Arabidopsis thaliana: one gene and its partners. The protein of the gene in region 4 interacts with the protein of the main gene of each other region in a pairwise test. Each region holds a gene or a part of one and is shown on either strand. Other genes may lie near its edges.

Region 1 (4,088 bases), on a different chromosome or scaffold from region 4:
GGTTCGGATCGGTTCCGGTTTGGTTCCGGTTTTTTCATGTTTTTACCAAAAAAAATTATAAGTGTGATGCATAAATAAAATCAAAATCTAATTTGTAAACTCAAATCCTAAATGACGGCATGTAATTTATATAGAATTTTAGTTTAGGTTACAGTTAGGGTTTTGTTTTTCGATAGTTTGATAGATATCATGTTATCAAATGAACATTATATATATATATATACAATTATTTTTAATTTAAATCAAAAACAAAAAAAACGTTCGGTTTTACGGTTTTTAATCAAACCAAACCTAAACCAAAACTTAAATAAAAATTACAATCAAATGGGTTTTTATACAAAACCATAACCAAACCAAACCATTTGTTTTGGTTTGGTACGGTTCGGTTTTTCGGTTTTCGTTTTTTTTCCCACCCCTATTAATTTAACATTTATATATGATGGATTCAAGCCTACTTCATTTTAGTGGGGTTTAATGGACATATCTATGGTTATATTCAAACTTCAAAGCCTTGGGTTTGTAAAGTTTTATTTCTAGCCTAAGTGTATATGTAAACATATCATGTAAGCACTGATTTATTAGGAGAATGAAAACAAACAAAACACTCTTTTATGAAGCAAAAAGAAAGCAAGCACAAATAAGCTTACTCTAAGGCCCACTAAATTTTAACAAATACCCATTAAAGCCCATTTAGGAACAAGGAAAACAAAACTGGACCGTATCAAAACGACAAAACAAAGCTAGAAGCTCTTCAGATTCAATGATATCCAATGGGAGCTGGAGCTTCTTTTAGCTCACGACCTTGGTAATGAATATCCTGCAATTTTTATTAAAACCATGAAAACAATCTAATCATCTTTTAAACATAAGTAAGTTTCCTATAATACAATTCACACTACTTACGGATGCATAGTGGTTAACATCACGGTGATGCGCTTCATCAGCACGGACCACCATGACGACATCACGAAGCGTCGCATCAGCTTCAAGTCTCCAGTAATCAATGGCAATAGCCGGTGCAGGCACATTTTCGATGTTACCATTATCGAGTTCTTTAAGAAACTCAGTGTAAGAGTGGATTGCTTCTTCCTCAAGGTATCCAACCATACGATGAGCAAATTTGGGAGAAATTAGGTATCCAAGGAAATAAGCATTGAAGAAAATGCCTTGAACGGCAATCACAAGAGCTCGTTCGTACCAATTAGGTTTCGCGACTTCCATGAATGTCATTAAATGCATTCTCTCGTTCTCTGCTTCTTCAAGTAGGGCTTTGATCCAACCACCGCTTTGTTCAAACCGTCGAAGCGATTTGCAGTGTACTAACATCCCTCCAACCATTCCTGGAACCGCTGCAACCGTTTCTAGCATCATTGCTCTGCATCCGTACCGCCTCTGCGGTTAACTCGTTGGCAAGATTAGTCCAAACATACAAAGCATTTGAAATGACAAAACCATAGAAAGCTAAGACTGTCACCTGGAAGAAAAGATCGGTAGGCCATCGAAGAGATTTCACGGTCCAATAAGCTAGTTTGTCCGGTAAAGTCGATGGAACATGATGCTTCTTCAAATCTATAGTCAGATCTGATTTATATGTCTCCCATGGCTACAGTTATTCCACACAAAAACTCAAATCATACATATAAATCGACCACAGAGTTCTAATATAATACCAAAGATGTAATGTACCCTAAAGCAACTCCATTTCCATTCAGTTCCATCTTCTTTGGTGATCTTCATCGGCTTCACTCCCCAGTAGCTAACGATTAATTGCTCCCCTTTGTTACCTTGATCAGCCTTGCCACCGCTAGATCCTTTCTCCTCCGTAGTTTTCTTCTTCTCAAATGTCATCTTGCTGAAAACTCTCACGACTCCCATCGCCGGAACCCTAATATTTTCCGTCACGAGAGGAACCCTAGGATTCAAAAGATGGCTGTGAGTCACAGCAGTTTCCATTAGCTTGGCTCCATAGCGACGACTCATCATCATTATGCAGATCGAAAATGAACAGTGGAACTTGATTAATGATAGTGTTTTTTTTTTGTTTTTTTGCATTTGGTAACTCCTAAACTGACATCTATTTATAGCAATTACGGAACTCTAGGATCAATGTATACAAGAAAGCGTAAAATTCGTCTAATTTGACTAAAAGACTTGTAGCACACGAAAAGACAAACTAATCCGCAAGTTTATGCTCAAAAACTGTGGACATTTTTTAAGTAAAAGCTTGTAGTAATAATCTTTTTTCTATAGACTTGGCTGGTGATATTCGTCAGCCGTTTTAATTCATGTTTTGATTAATTAGATTAATATAATTAAAAAGTTAAAAAAATCCTCTGTTCCAAAACAGAGACGTATTTGTGTAGTGTCTTATAGTTTCTTTGATGTATCTAACAATAACTGTGTCGCAAACTGTTGAAACCATTGGACAACCTTCTCGGTTTGAATATCATGGACGCAATTACTTGTTTCAAACCATAGGGTCTGAATGGTTGCAGCGGTTAAGGCGGACAAATCCGTTTATGGACTTGACCGATATTTAGTTACCATTCATAAATTGTGTCTGTAGTTATTTACCATTCATAGAATTGTGCTTATATATACAAATAGAGTTGATCTACATCGGTTTGTTATCCATCCTAAAAATAGAGCAAACTAAACTGCTGAGTGGATTTGTCCATCCCGACCGCCGCCACCATTCAAACAATATAGACGAATCTCAGTGTATCTATGAAACTGATCATTACTAAAATTTACCCAAAATGTTCGCAATAAAATCGATTTTCCCCCCAATTTGATGATTTTGAATCCATCTTGACGATGTCGAAGTAGGATATCCTCGGGTTTTTGATTCCGCTAGCGATGATCGAAACCTCTCCAGACAGAGTGATAACAAGATGATTGTCATTTGTTTCTGAAATCCAGCCTAGAGCAGGCTCTCAAAGGTAAGAATCATAAACTATACAACACGAAGAAAAAGAATAAACTACCAAAAAACTTTCATTAAATTATTCAACCAAAGGGAAAACAAATGAGAGAGGACTAGTGTATCTTATTTTTATCGACTAGTTTTTTTTCTTCTCTTTTTTACTCTCTATCTCTCTTACAAGATTTGAACCAAACTTGGAACATAATTGTAAATAAATGGAAACCACCACCATTTTTTTGTAAATTTTTCAGAAAATCTACATAACCACCATGGCTTGTTTGTAGCATAAGGGATTTCTGAGTAATATTTATTGTCTTCTCCAATAGTGAATATCAAGTTCCCGTCGGTCTCGAAATCTAAATTACAACACAAGGCCACTTTCTTCTCCTCGTTGATTAAAAGACTCGCGAAAACCTCAGAACAATGACCGCCAATGGGTAAATCCACTATAAAGGATTTGCTCCACAACAAAGCAGCTTCTTCAGTACCAACTTTATTGGTTACAAATATCTCCATCTTTGATGTCTCAATCTCTTGTAACACTGAGAGTTGTTCTTCTCCAACAACTGATAGAGCCATAAAACCATGATCTCGAGATGGCGGAAGACCAATATGATTAAATCTCTCTGTTGTAAAATCAAAACTACGTAAGAAGTCCTTTTTATTAGAACCAAACCAGTAAGTGTTTCCCTTTAAAGACACGACACTTACTGGTGGGAAGCGGTCATCAGGGACGTCATCAAGAACCTTCCATGAATCAGATCTAAAGTCATATATTTCAAACCTGAAACGTCCGCCGTCGTCTGGTATGTGATCGTGAAACCAACCCCAATACCTCAAGATTTTGTAGTTACGACGACAAAATTTGTTGTTTTCGTATCCTAGAGCAAACGTAGAGTATCTCCTGCATTCATCTTTGAGTTGGATCCACCTGGTTTCCCCCAAACACGGATTCCAAACCACGAGTCTATTGTCCCTGGTGGCGCATAACAACAAACCATCACAGTGATAAACTTCGACTATCTCGACTTGTCCTAAATTAGAATGGGAATCATCTTTTATGCCAAGTGTACCTTGAAACTCTACAGATGGAGGAGAAACATTGAGATTGATATTCATTGAGCAAACTCTGTACTCCTTCAACATGAGAACCATAGACTCC
Region 2 (4,076 bases), on a different chromosome or scaffold from region 4:
TTCTTATATTCATAATATGCAATATGCTGCAGCCTACAGAAAAGCAGAAGATATGAATTATCACTCCGTTTGCTTGCACGTCATATCAGATTCCATCCGCAGGTGTTAATCCTCTCTGCCTTTATAAATTTCAAGCAGAATCGGAGAAAGCTATATAGAAAAGAAAATGCTTCCTTTTGCATCAAACTTATATACAGTCAACATGAAGTTTTCTTTGCTGCTGTCTTTTCAGTGCAGGTTTGATACTGGCATCTTGGCTCCTCTCGCTCGGGTAATACTCGCTTTCTTTGAAGGAGCTAAATGAATAAAAGTGTCTTCTTGCTTGACTACATTTTCCTTTTGCTCCTTATGCCTTGGCTTTTTCAGGGTTGAAAATGCAGAGGTCCTATGTTTAGGATTGGTATCGGTCACAGTGTTTATGCTTGTTATGCCACTCTTCAAAGCCACTGGTGGTGTCTTGCTTCAGATGGCACCCCCAAACATTCCTTCTTCTGCTTTAAGCAAATGCTTGCGACAGGTTCGCTCATAAATCGTTCCTCGAATGTGTACATATTTCCCATTGTTGATCAAACCAGGCTTCTCTTCAGCTCTCTCTCTCTGTACAGATTACTTCTCGAGAAGATGTAACGGAGGTTTTACAGGCACGTTTCTGGGAGGTTGTGCCTGGTCACACTGTTGGCTCACTCAGACTCCAGGTACTCACTTTTCTCCTTTTTTTTATATCGGTTAAAACATGAGCTCACACTAGAAATGGAAATGACTGGGTTTGTTATTTTGTTTATCGGCGTTAGGTGAAGAGCGGAATAGATGAAAGACCATTACTGCAATATGTATATGATGTATACCATGATTTGGGTGTACAAGACTTGACCCTGCAAACTGATTACACCTAAGCTGCATCTGCCTCTTCTTTGTTTTTAAATGCTGATTTGAAGATTTTTGGATGTATACTAGAGATCATGGTTCTTTAGGAATATAAATATTGTGAATTTTCAAGTTGTGACTTTGTGATATTGTTTTGTTTGTTTTTCATTTATGTGAATTTTCAACCACACAAAGACCACAAACCTTTGTATCTTCAAGCTTGTGGATATTTTGGCTCATAATGATTGGCGAATTAAAACATATATCATTTGCTAAATGTGAAAGTAAACACACAAAAATTCAATATGAGCTGAGACAAGATTTTAGCATTCCTTCTCGTTTATTTATACGATAAAAAAGGAAGTGGGGGAATCGGAGATCACATCAAGCTATATCTTAAAAACCTAATATTCCGAGGAATGGGCCACTAAAAGCATCTTAGAAAGAAAATTCATCGATTACGAAATCATCTCCCGTCCATGTCTATATATTATTCTTTGCTTACTCCTATGCTTCATTGAACATAGCACATTTATTTTATTCCACTTGTGATCATCCATTATATAAACCATGATTGCAGTTTTTGGACTAAAAGCTAGAAAAAGTTGTATTCTTTATGGTGTAATGTCTTAAGAACATATTTTAATGAAGGCACTACTTGATTTCTCTTGGTTGTGGTCTGCTCTGTACCAACTCCAACGACAAAAACGTATAATATAGAATAATAAACAAGAAACAATTGTTCAAAAAGACACTTTTATTTGAAAATTATACGGTTTTAATGTTATTGTTTAATTGATTCAACTCAAGAGAGAGAGGACCAAAAGAATATGATCATGAATCATCAAACCATTAACTCTTAACCTTTCCCCTTAAAAAATTCCCAATTGATAAGAGAGAATCAAAAGCCAAAAGTAGAGTTAACCAATATTATATCTAGAAAAAGAAGATTGTAAGATAAAGCTGATGAAATTCACATTGCAAGAAGAGAATCTGCTTACAAAAGAAAGAAGGCAGTGTTAAGTCTCTGATTTCTTCTTGATAACATTACTACTATGTACAGATTCAGCAACACAGTTATTGGGGTCTTAAACCTTCTCACCTTACTAGCCTCGATTCCAATCATCGGAACCGCTTTATACAAGGCAAGAAGCAGCACGACATGTGAAAACTTCCTCCAGACGCCGCTACTTGTTATAGGATTCATCATACTCATAGTTTCCCTTGCGGGATTCATAGGAGCCTGCTTCAACGTGGCATGGGCTCTTTGGGTGTACTTAGTGGTCATGATCTTCCTCATCGCTACCCTAATGGGTCTAACGCTATTTGGTCTGGTGGTGACGAGCCAAGGAGGTGGAGTGGAAGTGCCAGGGAGGATTTATAAAGAGTATAGGCTTGGAGACTATCATCCATGGTTGAGAGAGAGAGTTAGGGATCCTGAGTATTGGAACTCCATTAGAAGCTGTATCTTGAGTTCCAAGACTTGTACTAAGATTGAGTCTTGGACTACACTTGATTATTTCCAAAGAGACATGACTTCTGTTCAGGTACAATCTACTTTATGACATGATTCATGCTTGCTTAACAAATTGCTATAGTAATCTAATATATATCTTATCATATGATAATTTAAGCCTTTGATTTTATTTGTTTCTTCGTTTCTAATCGCGTGTAAAGCAAGCATGTGACTAGAAATGAAAAAGGCAAACGAATTTTTTCTTTCCGTGTGTGTTTTGTTGAATCGTATTTGTATTCTTACTTGCAAACAAAATGATAGTGTGACCTTACCAGTTTTTTGCTGTAAACATATAGTTTTCTCTTTTTACTTAGTTTGTGTTTGGCGTTTGCATTTAGACAAAAATATAGTATTATTGGGGAAGAAAAGGCTTGTTAAGAGTTAAGACGTGACTAATAAAAGACAATGCAGTCGGGATGTTGTAAGCCACCGACGGCGTGTACGTACGAAGCTGGAGTAGTGGACGGAGGAGGAGATTGCTTCAGATGGAACAATGGAGTGGAGATGTTATGCTACGAGTGCGATGCTTGCAAGGCTGGTGTTCTCGAAGAGATCCGTCTCGACTGGAGAAAGTTATCGGTTGTCAACATTCTCGTCCTCGTCCTCCTCATCGCGGTCTACGCCGCTGGTTGCTGCGCCTTCCACAACACTCGCCACGCAGCTCATCCTTACCATCCATCTGATGATAACCGCATGACCAGAGTCCGTCCTCGTTGGGACTATTACTGGTAACCTTATCTCTCTCTCTCTCTCTCTCTATATATATATATATATATCACTTACCAAATGCATGATCGTAAAATGAAAGTTTTGTTTCAAAATTATACTTGATCCGAATTGAGATCTTGGATTTTTTTATTTTTTGACAAAAGCATGTTCTTATTACAGGTGGAGATGGTGGCACGAAAAGAAAGAGCAGCTTTACTAAAAGCCGCATCGTTTTTTTGTTCTTAATCATTTTCTTTTTAGCAAACTTAGATTAAGAAAACACAAAGATAGTTTAAAAATGTTGATGTAGTCCTGTTCCTATAAATCATCAAGAGATTAGTAAGATTTGCTACGAGTGCATGAGTATATGCATATATTTTTCGTCTCACTTGTGAAATATACTCTATGGAAGACTTATTAGAGTTTACTATTCCTGCAATTTCACTTCAAAGCTCAAAACGAAAAACAAACAGAGTAGGTTGCAATGGAGACTAGCTAGGATTGAATTGTATATATATATTGATAGTAATTATTTTTCAATACAACAAAATTACATCGTCGGTTATTATGTTCTTTTGGTTGCAAGATTTCTCTGACGTGTAAGGCCTGCCATTCTCATTGTTCCTCCACCTGCAGAATTTTCCAAAAGTTATACAGATACTGTCACTATTTTCAAAAAGAATTACAACTTCATGCAAAAAACTCGTACCTCCTCCATTTTTGTCAGATCTTTTACGGCTACGCCAAAGAAGCCGAATTGGAGTCCCAGCAAAGCCTGCATCAGTGCGTAGCTGTTTCTCCATATACCTTCTGTACGTATCCGAAAACAGCTTTGCGTCGTTTACAAAGAAAACAAACGTCGGTGGCCTTATTGCTGCCTGCATTATACAACCATTTTATATACAGACAAACAAACCCGAAAAGCCTCTAATGCATTTTCCTTTACTGCTACTAGAAAACATTGGGAGATGTTTTTATTACCTGGGTG
Region 3 (6,077 bases), about 11 Mb from region 4:
GTGATATACTATTATTTATCAAGAACAAAAAAATGCTCCAATATTATATAGGTGTAGTCATTGTGTAGAAAAGGTATTATTAAGCAAGATATTTCGGTCAATTAATTTTAAAAAATTTGTGTCTTCAGAAACTTTGAAATATGCCTTTTCAAAACCAATGATTTTTAAAGTTATTTTTACAATATATCCAAACTACTATTTATGTAGGTGCATCAGTGCATGCTTATTTTGCACAATATATAGCTTTACTTCTGTAATCCTTTTTAAAAAAGAAAAATCACCTTGGCCCTTGCTTAATATTGAAACTAAAACCATTTAAAAAAAAAATACCAAAACAATTTACACCTTACTATAAAAGAAAGGAGATGGTATTATCTTCCTATTTCTCATGTCGGTGTAACAACTCCTTTGGCCTTTGTGAGTGGAACTCATAAATTTATAACTTTTTCATATAATTTTAATTCACATGCACGATTATAGTATTTAAATACACATTTGTACATGAAGAATATAGAAAAGAATATGCTCTACCATGTTCAACCTCTTTTTAGTCTTTATATTCTTTCCAGTCCCGAACACGTGTTATGTTTGGACGCATCTTTCAAAACATAACATATTACCTATCTTGACATCTAAGTAAATTCTAACCACTAAAAACCAAATGTGGTAGTAAACGTTAACGTATGAGAACTGTAAAATCCACATTATAATTTGCAGAAAAACAGTTGAAAATAAACAATATACTAATATTTTACAAAAATAAAATTAAACTTGAATATGTTTGTACAAGAAGGTATAGAAAAAATATATTTTTCGGTACTTACGTAACGATCTCAGCCACCGTCACAGCAGCAAACACGAGAAACAGAACTCCTCCGACATAAGCAATTGCCTGTTTCGAACCAAACGACATGTAAACATTTCCGTCTTTAGAACACACTCTCTCTCCCAAAATTGTTTTTTAAATAGTCTAAACTTTAGATCAAAACAATAAAAAAAATGGTCTTAAATCTTTATAAATTAAATTGTAAGCCTACTATCAAGTCATAAAAGCTAAAATCTAAGCCTTAAACCATAAAACATAAATCATGAACCTTAAAACCTAAAGAAAATTATAGTATATACTTGTGATTTAATTTTTATTTCCGCGGCTAGTTTCATTAGTTTGGGAATAATAACGCGTTGTTGACAGATTGGATCGGACATAGGAAAGAATAAAAACAATAAAAGATGTTATTTTGACTCTTTTTTGGGGAGGAATAGATACCAAGTGATGTGGAAGACTTGAGATCAATGAACATAGAAGCTTGTTTTTGCCACTTGCCCAAAGAATAAAAACCTTAATCTCTCACTTTTCTTTCTATCATGTTAAATCTCAGAACACAATACGAGATTAAAAATTATATCCTTTGACTAACTAAAACAAAACTCAAAAAGGTGGTTTGGAACTTTTAAAACCATGATTAAAGCTAGTAATTTGCCATTAGTATCTCGTTTTTGTGTAATAAAAGCTGAATATATCCTAGGATATGCTGGCATTTAGTATATTCACCCTAAATTTTCATGATAATCTAAGGACATGGATTTGTTTCATATTTCATTAATTGTTTTCTACTTTTTTAATGCAACCATTAAAGTTTTATTCTTCTTAACCTTTTACTTGGTCAGGATGCAGGTTAAGACATGTAACAAAAATCTAAACCTGACACTATAAATGAAAAAGGAGTATTCTTCAAGTGCTTTTGTGAAATAATGATTTTCTAAAATTGATTTGATCTATATAAAGTATAAACATGTATATACTGTCTATGTGTATGTATATAGAGATAGATAAAGAACGGAATTAGTTACCTTCTCTGATAAGAAATTTCCTAGCAAAGAACCGCCCAATACTGCAAGCTGCGATTAACAAACCAAGCTGCAAGTTAGAGTTCTTGTGTCTTCCAAGTTTCAGGAGAATTGAAAAAATCTTTTCTTTGATGGGGTTTTAAGTCTTAATAGTACTTAAAGATACTTTTGACTAGCCCAAATAGCTAGGATCTTTAAAGTGTTCACATAGAAGTTTCAATCAAAAGATAAAGAACTCACAAGAGTCGCAGCACCGTGACCCGCCAACGCTCCAGCGATGACACCCAATGGTGATGATGCAGCCGCAAGAGCTTCAAAGAATTAGAAGATTATATACACTTTTGGAGTTTTGGACCTGAGGTTTTGATTTATCATGAAATTTGAACTTTTTGAGTCTCACCAATTGTTGAGAAGAAGGATTTGTCACCCCATTCCGCAACAAAAACCAATGCGAAAGTGCTGATGATGGTGTTCGCGGCTGCTACTATCCCGGCTCCATTACCTGAAAGCTCTGAAACCGCTAGTTCTGCCTGTAGATAATAAGTAAATAAATATTGACTTCTTGAAGGTTGCATGGAAATATACAAAGAGTGAACGAAAGGCTAAAGAGGTTTTACTTCTTTCTGTTCTTCGTCAGCTTTACCCTCGTCTGAAACAGCATCTAATAACGTTGAAACACCGAAGTACACCTAAATGTAACAAAAGTGGTTAATACTGTTTCATGGTTAAGACTATGCTCTGTACAATATGATCCAACCCAAAATGAACCATAAACCAGGCTTGAAAACCAATCAACATCTTCATTGTTAGACCAGTAACTTTTTCTACATAAAAATCCAAACCCAATAGAGCCTGAAACTTATAAACTTCATGACAATTTTAAGACCCTTCGAATCGAAAACTGAACCAAAACCAAAACAAAACTCATAACAAAAGGGTTACAGCTACATTTGGTTTCACTTGGTAGACATCATATACTTAGGAAGATATACTTGCTAGACATAAGAAAGGTCCAAACCAAGCACCCGTGGTTAGTACGACTCTGCTAAGAAAGGTGAATAAAGAGATTTACCAGAAGACAAACTGCTGCAATATCATCTATAGGCAAATCGGTTCCACCAAACCTGTGTTCTCAAGCATTGACGTTCAGCATCATCATGGAACTTAAACCTGCTTAATAATTTTTGCCAGAATACTCAAACCTGAATGGAAGAACTTCATCGACATAGTGGAAAGTGCGTCCAAGCACTACAGATATTATCGTCATTATCCTGCAAAATTACCAAGTTTTATAACGTTGCTCTACAGATTTCAAAGTAACATTTGGTTTCAGACAAGATTCACGGACCATAATAACGCCTCTGTTTGAGAAAGAAAGCATACCCTAGAGCGCCAAAAGTCCCCACGAATACGGTAGCAGCAGAGTTCCTTGCTGCTAAAAGGGCCTAACCAACAAACATGAAAACTTATCACAATCAACAGAATCATTGATGACAAAGAGAGTTTCTAAAGCGTAGATTAACATCTCAAGATCATACCGCAATGAAGAAAGTCTTGTCTCCAAGTTCAGAGAAAAAGATAAGCAAGAAAGCCTACACAGACATAGACAGAGCAAAAAATAAAATTTAAGAGTACTGGAATTGAAGAAGAGATAGTTCCCGGTTCTGTGCAAAAGGAAGATTCTCTAACCGAAGCAAAACCTGAGCTAATATCTCCAAGGTCTCCAAAAGAAGTGACAAGTGACTGTGTCACATTGGGAATTGACGAAGCTGCAAAAGCTGGATCAGTGCCTAGTAATGCAACCGAACCTGATACCGCCAAGAACATAAGAACTCTCTGAATCTCTCTTCTTGAGTGAGCTATCGATGACTCAACCAGAACATCAAGATTTCTATCATGCTCTTCAGACTCAGCTTTCTGAACAAAGCAAACACAACAACTTATTCAGCTTATGCATTTAAACACATTCTCTCCACTATTGTTCAACCTTAAAATCAATCATCATTATAATAAACCTACATTACCATTTTAGGTAAATCCACACAGAACAAGCAATTCAGAAATCTCCTCTAGGCCTTAACAGAATCTCATCTAAAAAAATTCAAAAATCTACCAAAAGAAGATTGGTGGAAGGTAACAAAAATCAGAATCACCTCGAGGTAACAAGCCGCATCGTTTCGTTGGAAGCATCGAAAACCTAGCTGCTGAGATTCATTTCGACGCAATTGAGTCAAACATCTGCACAGAATTGTGAAAAGACGTAAACTCCTACATGGCTACATTCCATTCGCATAGCAAATTCAAAAGCCGATGAACAATCAATTATCAAATTTACCTAGAAAAGTATTGATTACGAACCGAAAACCCGATCGGAATTGGATAAGCGGAGACGCATCTCCTCGACGATGAGGAAGGAGAAGAAGAAGTAGAAGAAAAATCGGATTTGGGAGGCCTAGGGTTCTGGAATGGAATGCGAAGCGACTCCGAGAGATTCAAACTTAGCATTTCTTTCCTGAGGATTTTGTATTTCGCTTCTTCTTCTTCTTCACAGTGTGATTCTTCTTTACTGCGAGCAAAAAACCTTTGGCTCTGTGTTGTTCTGAGAAGATAGTGAAAAAAATCCACAAAACTAGAGTTATTCGCGCGCGTCCACGTAGTAACAGCGCACGTGTGGGAAAAACTCAAGCAACTGTTGAATACACGTGACGAGTTTCGAGCCTATATATCATATTGGGCCAACAATAGGCCCGTTTTCGTTAAAATGCCTTCGCAGATAAGGCTTTTTAGGACAAACTATTTTAGTATTTTTCTTTTCCTTCGTTTGTTATCATCTTCACAGTTTGTCAACATTCAACAATTTGTCTTTTTGTTTACTATTGTTCTGCTTTTCTTTTGTTTCACGATATTATTTTTTAAAATGTGAATAGTTATGTCACATTTGAAATTCTGCAACTTGATTTGCTTTATTGGCTGCCGAATGCCAATGTTCTATTAAGTCGGCGAAAGCTTAGCTTAATTAAAAAAAAATTGATGATAAAACGGTTACTTTTACAAATGGACTAGATTATCATTAAGAAAAAAACATGTTTGGTATGCAAATTATATTAGCCATAGGGTACTTAACAAACTAAAATTAAAATTTTCAACGTGACTTTTACCAATAAAATAGATGACTCTACTTTTAGTTATAGAAAAAAATGATATGATTTATATATAATAAAATAAAATAAAATCTATAACGATACTTTTTAGCATCATGCTAATGGTCAGTGGCAGTTTGACATAAATTCATGTAAAATTATAAGTTATTGGAAAAACTCCTCATGCTCTTTAGTTTTTATTATTAGTGCTCCACCAACCCATCATTAAAAGGCCAAATTACATATATTAGTAGTTCTGAAAGACTATACATATATATATTATTAATGTCCTAAATTTAGACGAACAAGTAGATTATTCATTGATTCAATATATATGATTTAAAGCCATGAATTGCATATTTAACCGATTTAATATCTCTTCTGCTTTTGAATTTGTGCTGTTTTAGATATTATTGATGAATTCGTGCAACTCCAGCTTAAGGTATGTACAAGCTTTAAGCTTATGTAGTCTTAAATCAAATATGTATTATATATACTAATTTGTTTTAGTACTTCATTCGTGTTATTTTTAACGATTTCTCCACTACTATAACATTTTGTGGAAAGTTTTGAAAGGTGATTGAGCCGCCTACATGGAAAACTTTCAGATATTCATGGTAAATGATCTCACTTTATACACATCAACAAAACTTATCACCAACCTAATATAAATAAATATATAAACAAGAAACAAGAGAGAAGAAGTGAGCTAGTCCACTTTGTTTATACTTAATATTAACACGGACTAGTAACCCAAGTTGTATATAAACCCATCACTCCTTCTTTGTCAATCTCACTCTCTCATTATCCACTCTCACATTTTCATTTAAAACACACATATTTTCAATATGGTAGGCCAAATGAAATCGTTTCTCTTCTTATTCGTTTTCCTTGTTCTAACAAAAACCGTCATATCAGCTAGAAAACCATCCAAATCGCAACCAAAACCGTGCAAAAACTTTGTCCTCTACTACCACGACATAATGTTCGGTGTCGACGACGTGCAAAACGCGACTTCTGCAGCAGTTACCAACCCACCGGGCCTCGGGAATTTCAAATTCGGGAAACTCGTTATCTTCGACGATCCTA
Region 4 (4,072 bases):
AACGAAGATATTCTTGAGAATAGCGCCGTTTTTCAGAACGGTGAACACAGGGATCGTCTTCTCCGGCAATCGTTGCTTCTCCTCCATCAGTTTCTCTTCCTTGACCTCCATGAATAAGTCTGTAAGAACGAACGATTGAGAGATTTTCGAAAATGGAAAACGAAAGAGATGAAGAAGAAGAAGATTTAGAGAGTGTTTCTCTCTTTCTCTCTCTATCTCCTTCTGATTTTGAAAAAGAGTCCGTTGTTGAATCCGACGACCTCTCTCTCTCTATTTACTCGTAACGGCTAATTGTGGCATCATCTCTTATTACGACAATTTCAAATTTTAATAACCAAATTAAACCCTTAATTAATTCAAATTTAGGTCGGTTAAACACTAAACACATGAATTTTTCATTTCATTTTTTGTTTGGTATGGACATGGTCATCGATTATTTATGTATGTGCTTTTCTACAATTTTTTCATGCCTAGAAATTGATGCCAAATCATTCAATTCGGGGTTTCAAAACTTTAACCATAACAGACCGAAGTAGAATAATTTGGTTTGGTTCGGTTTGATACAATTCGATTCAATTGAAAACGAAATACATAAAAGAGCAGCTTCTACTAAAAAACTCAAAACAGTTTTGATGCATTGTGTGAGAGTATACATAAATGTGAGATTAAAAAAAGTGGGATCATTCCTCCTTGGTATGAGCAAGCCTTGCGCGATGCCTGAGCTCAGCTCTTTTCCACTTTACGATTAAGTAGCAAAGCGAAAAGAGTGTGTTTATCTGTCAAAAACACAACACCTCCATCAGATTTTCCACATTCACTACACATAGTTCGTTAAAATCCTAAACAAGACATGGATCAGTATGGTACTATGGTTTGAGTTAAGGACTACAAATACTCTTAAGAGTTAAAACCAAATCAAACACGAAACATATCCTCGATTTCTCAGTTAATATGACTGCTCAATCAAAGTATGTTTTACTTGGGAACAATTTATTAAGAGCTAGCAAGTAGATTCTAATATATTAATGCAGAGAAGAAAGGGAAAGATTGCTGAACACATTACCAGGATTATCATTGCAATGACCAAAAGTGGTCCAGACCAGAGAGTCGATAGGAAGACTCCGTTCGAGTCAAAGTAGTTTTGAGTTGAGAAGCTCTTCCAGTTTTTCCTCAACTCCCGGTTGAGATTCTCTGCAAAGTATACCCCAGCCACTGCAAATTTTTTGTCACATCATCAGTCTCAATAACGTGTACTAAGAAAAGAAAAAACTCTAATTGATGCAGTGACGACTCACAAAATATCGCAAAGAAATATGCCAATCACTAAGTTCATAATCTAAACTAACACAGCTATTGAGTAGACAAATGAATATCATATTTTCGTTTTACCAAACATCGATGATCCGATAATCCTATTGTACTAAACAAAGAAAACAAAGCCTAGTGCATTCAATCATAAGCTAGAGTGAAGTAAAACATGTCAGTACTAGCTTCTCAAACACTTGATCCACTATGAATGCCACAACCTAGACTAGTGAGATCATTAGATCGAAGAGATTTCTTGTACAATATATATATAGACAGTTTCAAAGGGAACTTACAAGCCAATAAGAAGAGGAACATATGGAAGTTGAGATGCCTTCTAGAAAGAAGAGTCACTAGTAACAACAAAGCATGAAACGCCATTAAACCCATAATCCAAGGTTCCTGTAACCAAAAAATGCCAGATGAGAAAAAACCAATGTATATGAGTATAGTTTATGGAATCTCAAATTCTCACAGAATTCAAATGAAATTCTACAAATACCGAGAATTTATCTAGACTTGTGATTCTAAATTCCTCAAGACCAAATGATGCAATACGAAGAAAGATTCTCATTACCTTCCAATCAATGGCGTGGAAAAACCCCAAGAAATTATCGTAAGCAGGTTGAAACCCCGTTCGGAGCTCTCCGGAGAGTTTCTCAACCAGATCCGCTACGAGATCCACTTGCTTCTCCATCGCCGATCTTATTTCTTCCATTGTCTTACTAAATGTCACCGGAAAAAAGAAACCAATTTGAAATTGCAAGCGGTGGTAACTAAAATACTCACACTCCAAGTAACCAAAACCCTATCGCTTCTTCGATTCCAGTTCTCAACTTTTCTCGCCAAGATTTTTAACGAGTTTCTTCTGCGCTTAAAAGCTCTCGAAGTTGCCAGGAAAAGAAAAAAATGTAATCACCAACTTCCCAGAATACCCTTATAGTTTCATATTTTAACGGTAATGCCACTGAGATAACATACTAATATTTTGGATTATTCAGAGTAATATGATTTTCCAGGAACATCTAAACTTATACTCAAACCAAATGATTTGATCTTCGATCGAAGTCAGTTTTAATGAAAGGATTCTCCGAAATAATAAGACAAAAAATGAGTTTGAGCGATTCCACTCCTTTCCTTCATGAAAACTCTACATAATTACTATGCTTATGATAAAAAAAAATTAGATGATTATTAACATTCTCAATAATCGATAATAGGTTAACAGATAGAAGAATGAGTGAATGGAGATGTTGAGAAAGAAAGCAACTTCAGGATGTGGATGTTGTTGTGGGTCGTTGCTTCTTACGGAAGATGTAGTTTAGGAGCATCCCAAGTAAAGGGAAACTTGTAACCATGCCTATGTAACCAAGCCACCATACCGACTGTTTTGTCTGCCTACACAGCTCTTTAAAGCTTTTCTTTGTTACATCTTCCTCAGGCTTTCGCCCTCTCTGCTTCAGTGTGGTCTTATTGGTGTCTTGCTCATATTTGACTGCTGCCACCAACCCGTCTTCTGCAATGTTTAGGTACGGGCCTTGGTTTATCGATGGCTCTTGTTTCCCTGACCCTGAGCTTCTTTTATCTACAATCTGCAAAAAAATTGATAATCTTAGGAAGAAAGAAATAGAGAGAAGAGTTAAATTATCTAAACTGCAATTCTAATAAACGGAAACTTACTTTCTGTATATGCATATAAGGACTGCAGCTAAGGACGCCAAGAAACTCGTTGGTGGCTCGAACCCACCTATACACAACAACATATATAGGCAGTCAAAATAGGAAGTACTATTATTACTTAGTTACAATCTGAAATATACCAACCATAAGCTAGATCCAGTTAATCCTTCGAAGAACGCTAGATGTCCCCCGTGATTTGTTGTAGCCAAGACAATGTTTTTGTTGGCCCTTTTCAATAGAAACTTCATGTTAATCGCTGTAACAGGATTTAAGATTTAAAAAGAGATAGATAGCGTCTTACCTGCATTCGTCCCAGGGAATAGCTTCCTTTGTGCATAATGGATCATCTAGAGCACTTATACAGAGTAGTGGCACCGCCACATTTCCTACGTATTGAGTGCTGCTCGATTTTCGGTAATACGTATCCACAGTCTGCATAAAGGTGCAACCCGTTGTACTTATATTAAATCAACAGAGAACTTAATGGTGATTATGAAGAGCATTGCAAAGATGAATATATGAATTACAAAGCCAATTGCGGTGGAAAACTAACATCAGAAGTTAAGATAATATGGAGGAGAACTAATACCTCGAATTTTCCAACTAGACAGGTAGCATGGTTGTCAAAATCTCGGATGGAACGTGACTGATGAAGTAAAAACAACGGACAACAACAGACAACGTCGATAGGGAAAGAAATATGTAAGTTATTTGCTTAAGAACTCTGCTTGTTTCAATGCATCTACCAAGTAGACTGTATAACTTATGGGCCTGTGGTTAATTAACCTACTAACCTTTTTGATGCCTTCCCAATTAGCAAGCCGTAAAAACTGAGGTTCATGCCTGCAATGAAACCAAAAGTTATAACTGAAACCTGATCTTCTCAAAGCAGTAAAACGGAAATATCTCCTCTCAGCCCATCTTACAAACTCAAAATCTAGGCAGTTCTTGGTGGACATACAATTGGGCATAACCTTGGAGTCCGATGGTGAGAGCTTTGTCATAGAGCTTTTGTTTCAAAGTCCGACAGATAAACCTGTCACCAATCTTGTTGGGAGGAGAAAAGGAAAAGAAAAAGCATAACGTA

What was found.
Region 1: the proteins of AT1G34350 (region 4) and AOX1B interact in a protein complementation assay, tested with the Arabidopsis thaliana proteins (one large-scale study listed by BioGRID).
Region 2: the proteins of AT1G34350 (region 4) and TET6 interact in a protein complementation assay, tested with the Arabidopsis thaliana proteins (one large-scale study listed by BioGRID).
Region 3: the proteins of AT1G34350 (region 4) and AT1G64150 interact in a protein complementation assay, tested with the Arabidopsis thaliana proteins (one large-scale study listed by BioGRID).

Annotation. Positions count from the first base shown.
Region 1 is NC_003074.8:7,902,054-7,906,141, reverse strand, and holds AOX1B (alternative oxidase 1B), read right to left. Parts: upstream 2,046-4,088; 5' UTR 1,987-2,045; coding exon 1,687-1,986; intron 1,604-1,686; coding exon 1,475-1,603; intron 1,393-1,474; coding exon 904-1,392; intron 818-903; coding exon 758-817; 3' UTR 566-757; downstream 1-565. Other genes in the region: AT3G22350 (F-box and associated interaction domains-containing protein), read right to left, coding at 3,101-4,088.
Region 2 is NC_003074.8:3,851,558-3,855,633, reverse strand, and holds TET6 (tetraspanin6), read left to right. Parts: upstream 1-1,767; 5' UTR 1,768-1,919; coding exon 1,920-2,411; intron 2,412-2,791; coding exon 2,792-3,108; intron 3,109-3,268; coding exon 3,269-3,308; 3' UTR 3,309-3,509; downstream 3,510-4,076. Other genes in the region: AT3G12100 (Cation efflux family protein), read left to right, coding at 33-102, 233-271, 367-517, 606-695, 792-893; emb2738 (GTP-binding family protein), read right to left, coding at 3,654-3,718, 3,798-3,966, 4,070-4,076. UniProt on the Arabidopsis thaliana protein: May be involved in the regulation of cell differentiation.
Region 3 is NC_003070.9:23,808,227-23,814,303, forward strand, and holds AT1G64150 (Uncharacterized protein family (UPF0016)), read right to left. Parts: upstream 4,500-6,077; 5' UTR 4,354-4,499; coding exon 4,184-4,353; intron 4,087-4,183; coding exon 4,002-4,086; intron 3,766-4,001; coding exon 3,538-3,765; intron 3,441-3,537; coding exon 3,387-3,440; intron 3,294-3,386; coding exon 3,232-3,293; intron 3,120-3,231; coding exon 3,051-3,119; intron 2,973-3,050; coding exon 2,921-2,972; intron 2,538-2,920; coding exon 2,466-2,537; intron 2,379-2,465; coding exon 2,249-2,378; intron 2,160-2,248; coding exon 2,089-2,159; intron 1,900-2,088; coding exon 1,852-1,899; intron 893-1,851; coding exon 821-892; 3' UTR 609-820; downstream 1-608. Other genes in the region: DIR5 (Disease resistance-responsive (dirigent-like protein) family protein), read left to right, coding at 5,837-6,077. UniProt on the Arabidopsis thaliana protein: Mn(2+)/H(+) exchanger, which transport Mn(2+)from the chloroplast stroma into the acidic thylakoid lumen. Might be a chloroplast-localized Ca(2+)/H(+) antiporter. Regulates Ca(2+), Mn(2+) and pH homeostasis. Required for chloroplast development.
Region 4 is NC_003070.9:12,532,536-12,536,607, reverse strand, and holds AT1G34350 (Tmem18), read right to left. Parts: upstream 2,183-4,072; 5' UTR 2,024-2,182; coding exon 1,883-2,023; intron 1,708-1,882; coding exon 1,527-1,707; intron 1,213-1,526; coding exon 1,064-1,212; intron 777-1,063; coding exon 681-776; 3' UTR 513-680; downstream 1-512. Other genes in the region: PS1 (forkhead-associated (FHA) domain-containing protein), read right to left, coding at 1-111; AT1G34340 (alpha/beta-Hydrolases superfamily protein), read right to left, coding at 2,577-2,897, 2,986-3,052, 3,130-3,213, 3,287-3,417, 3,575-3,631, 3,780-3,828, 3,947-4,032.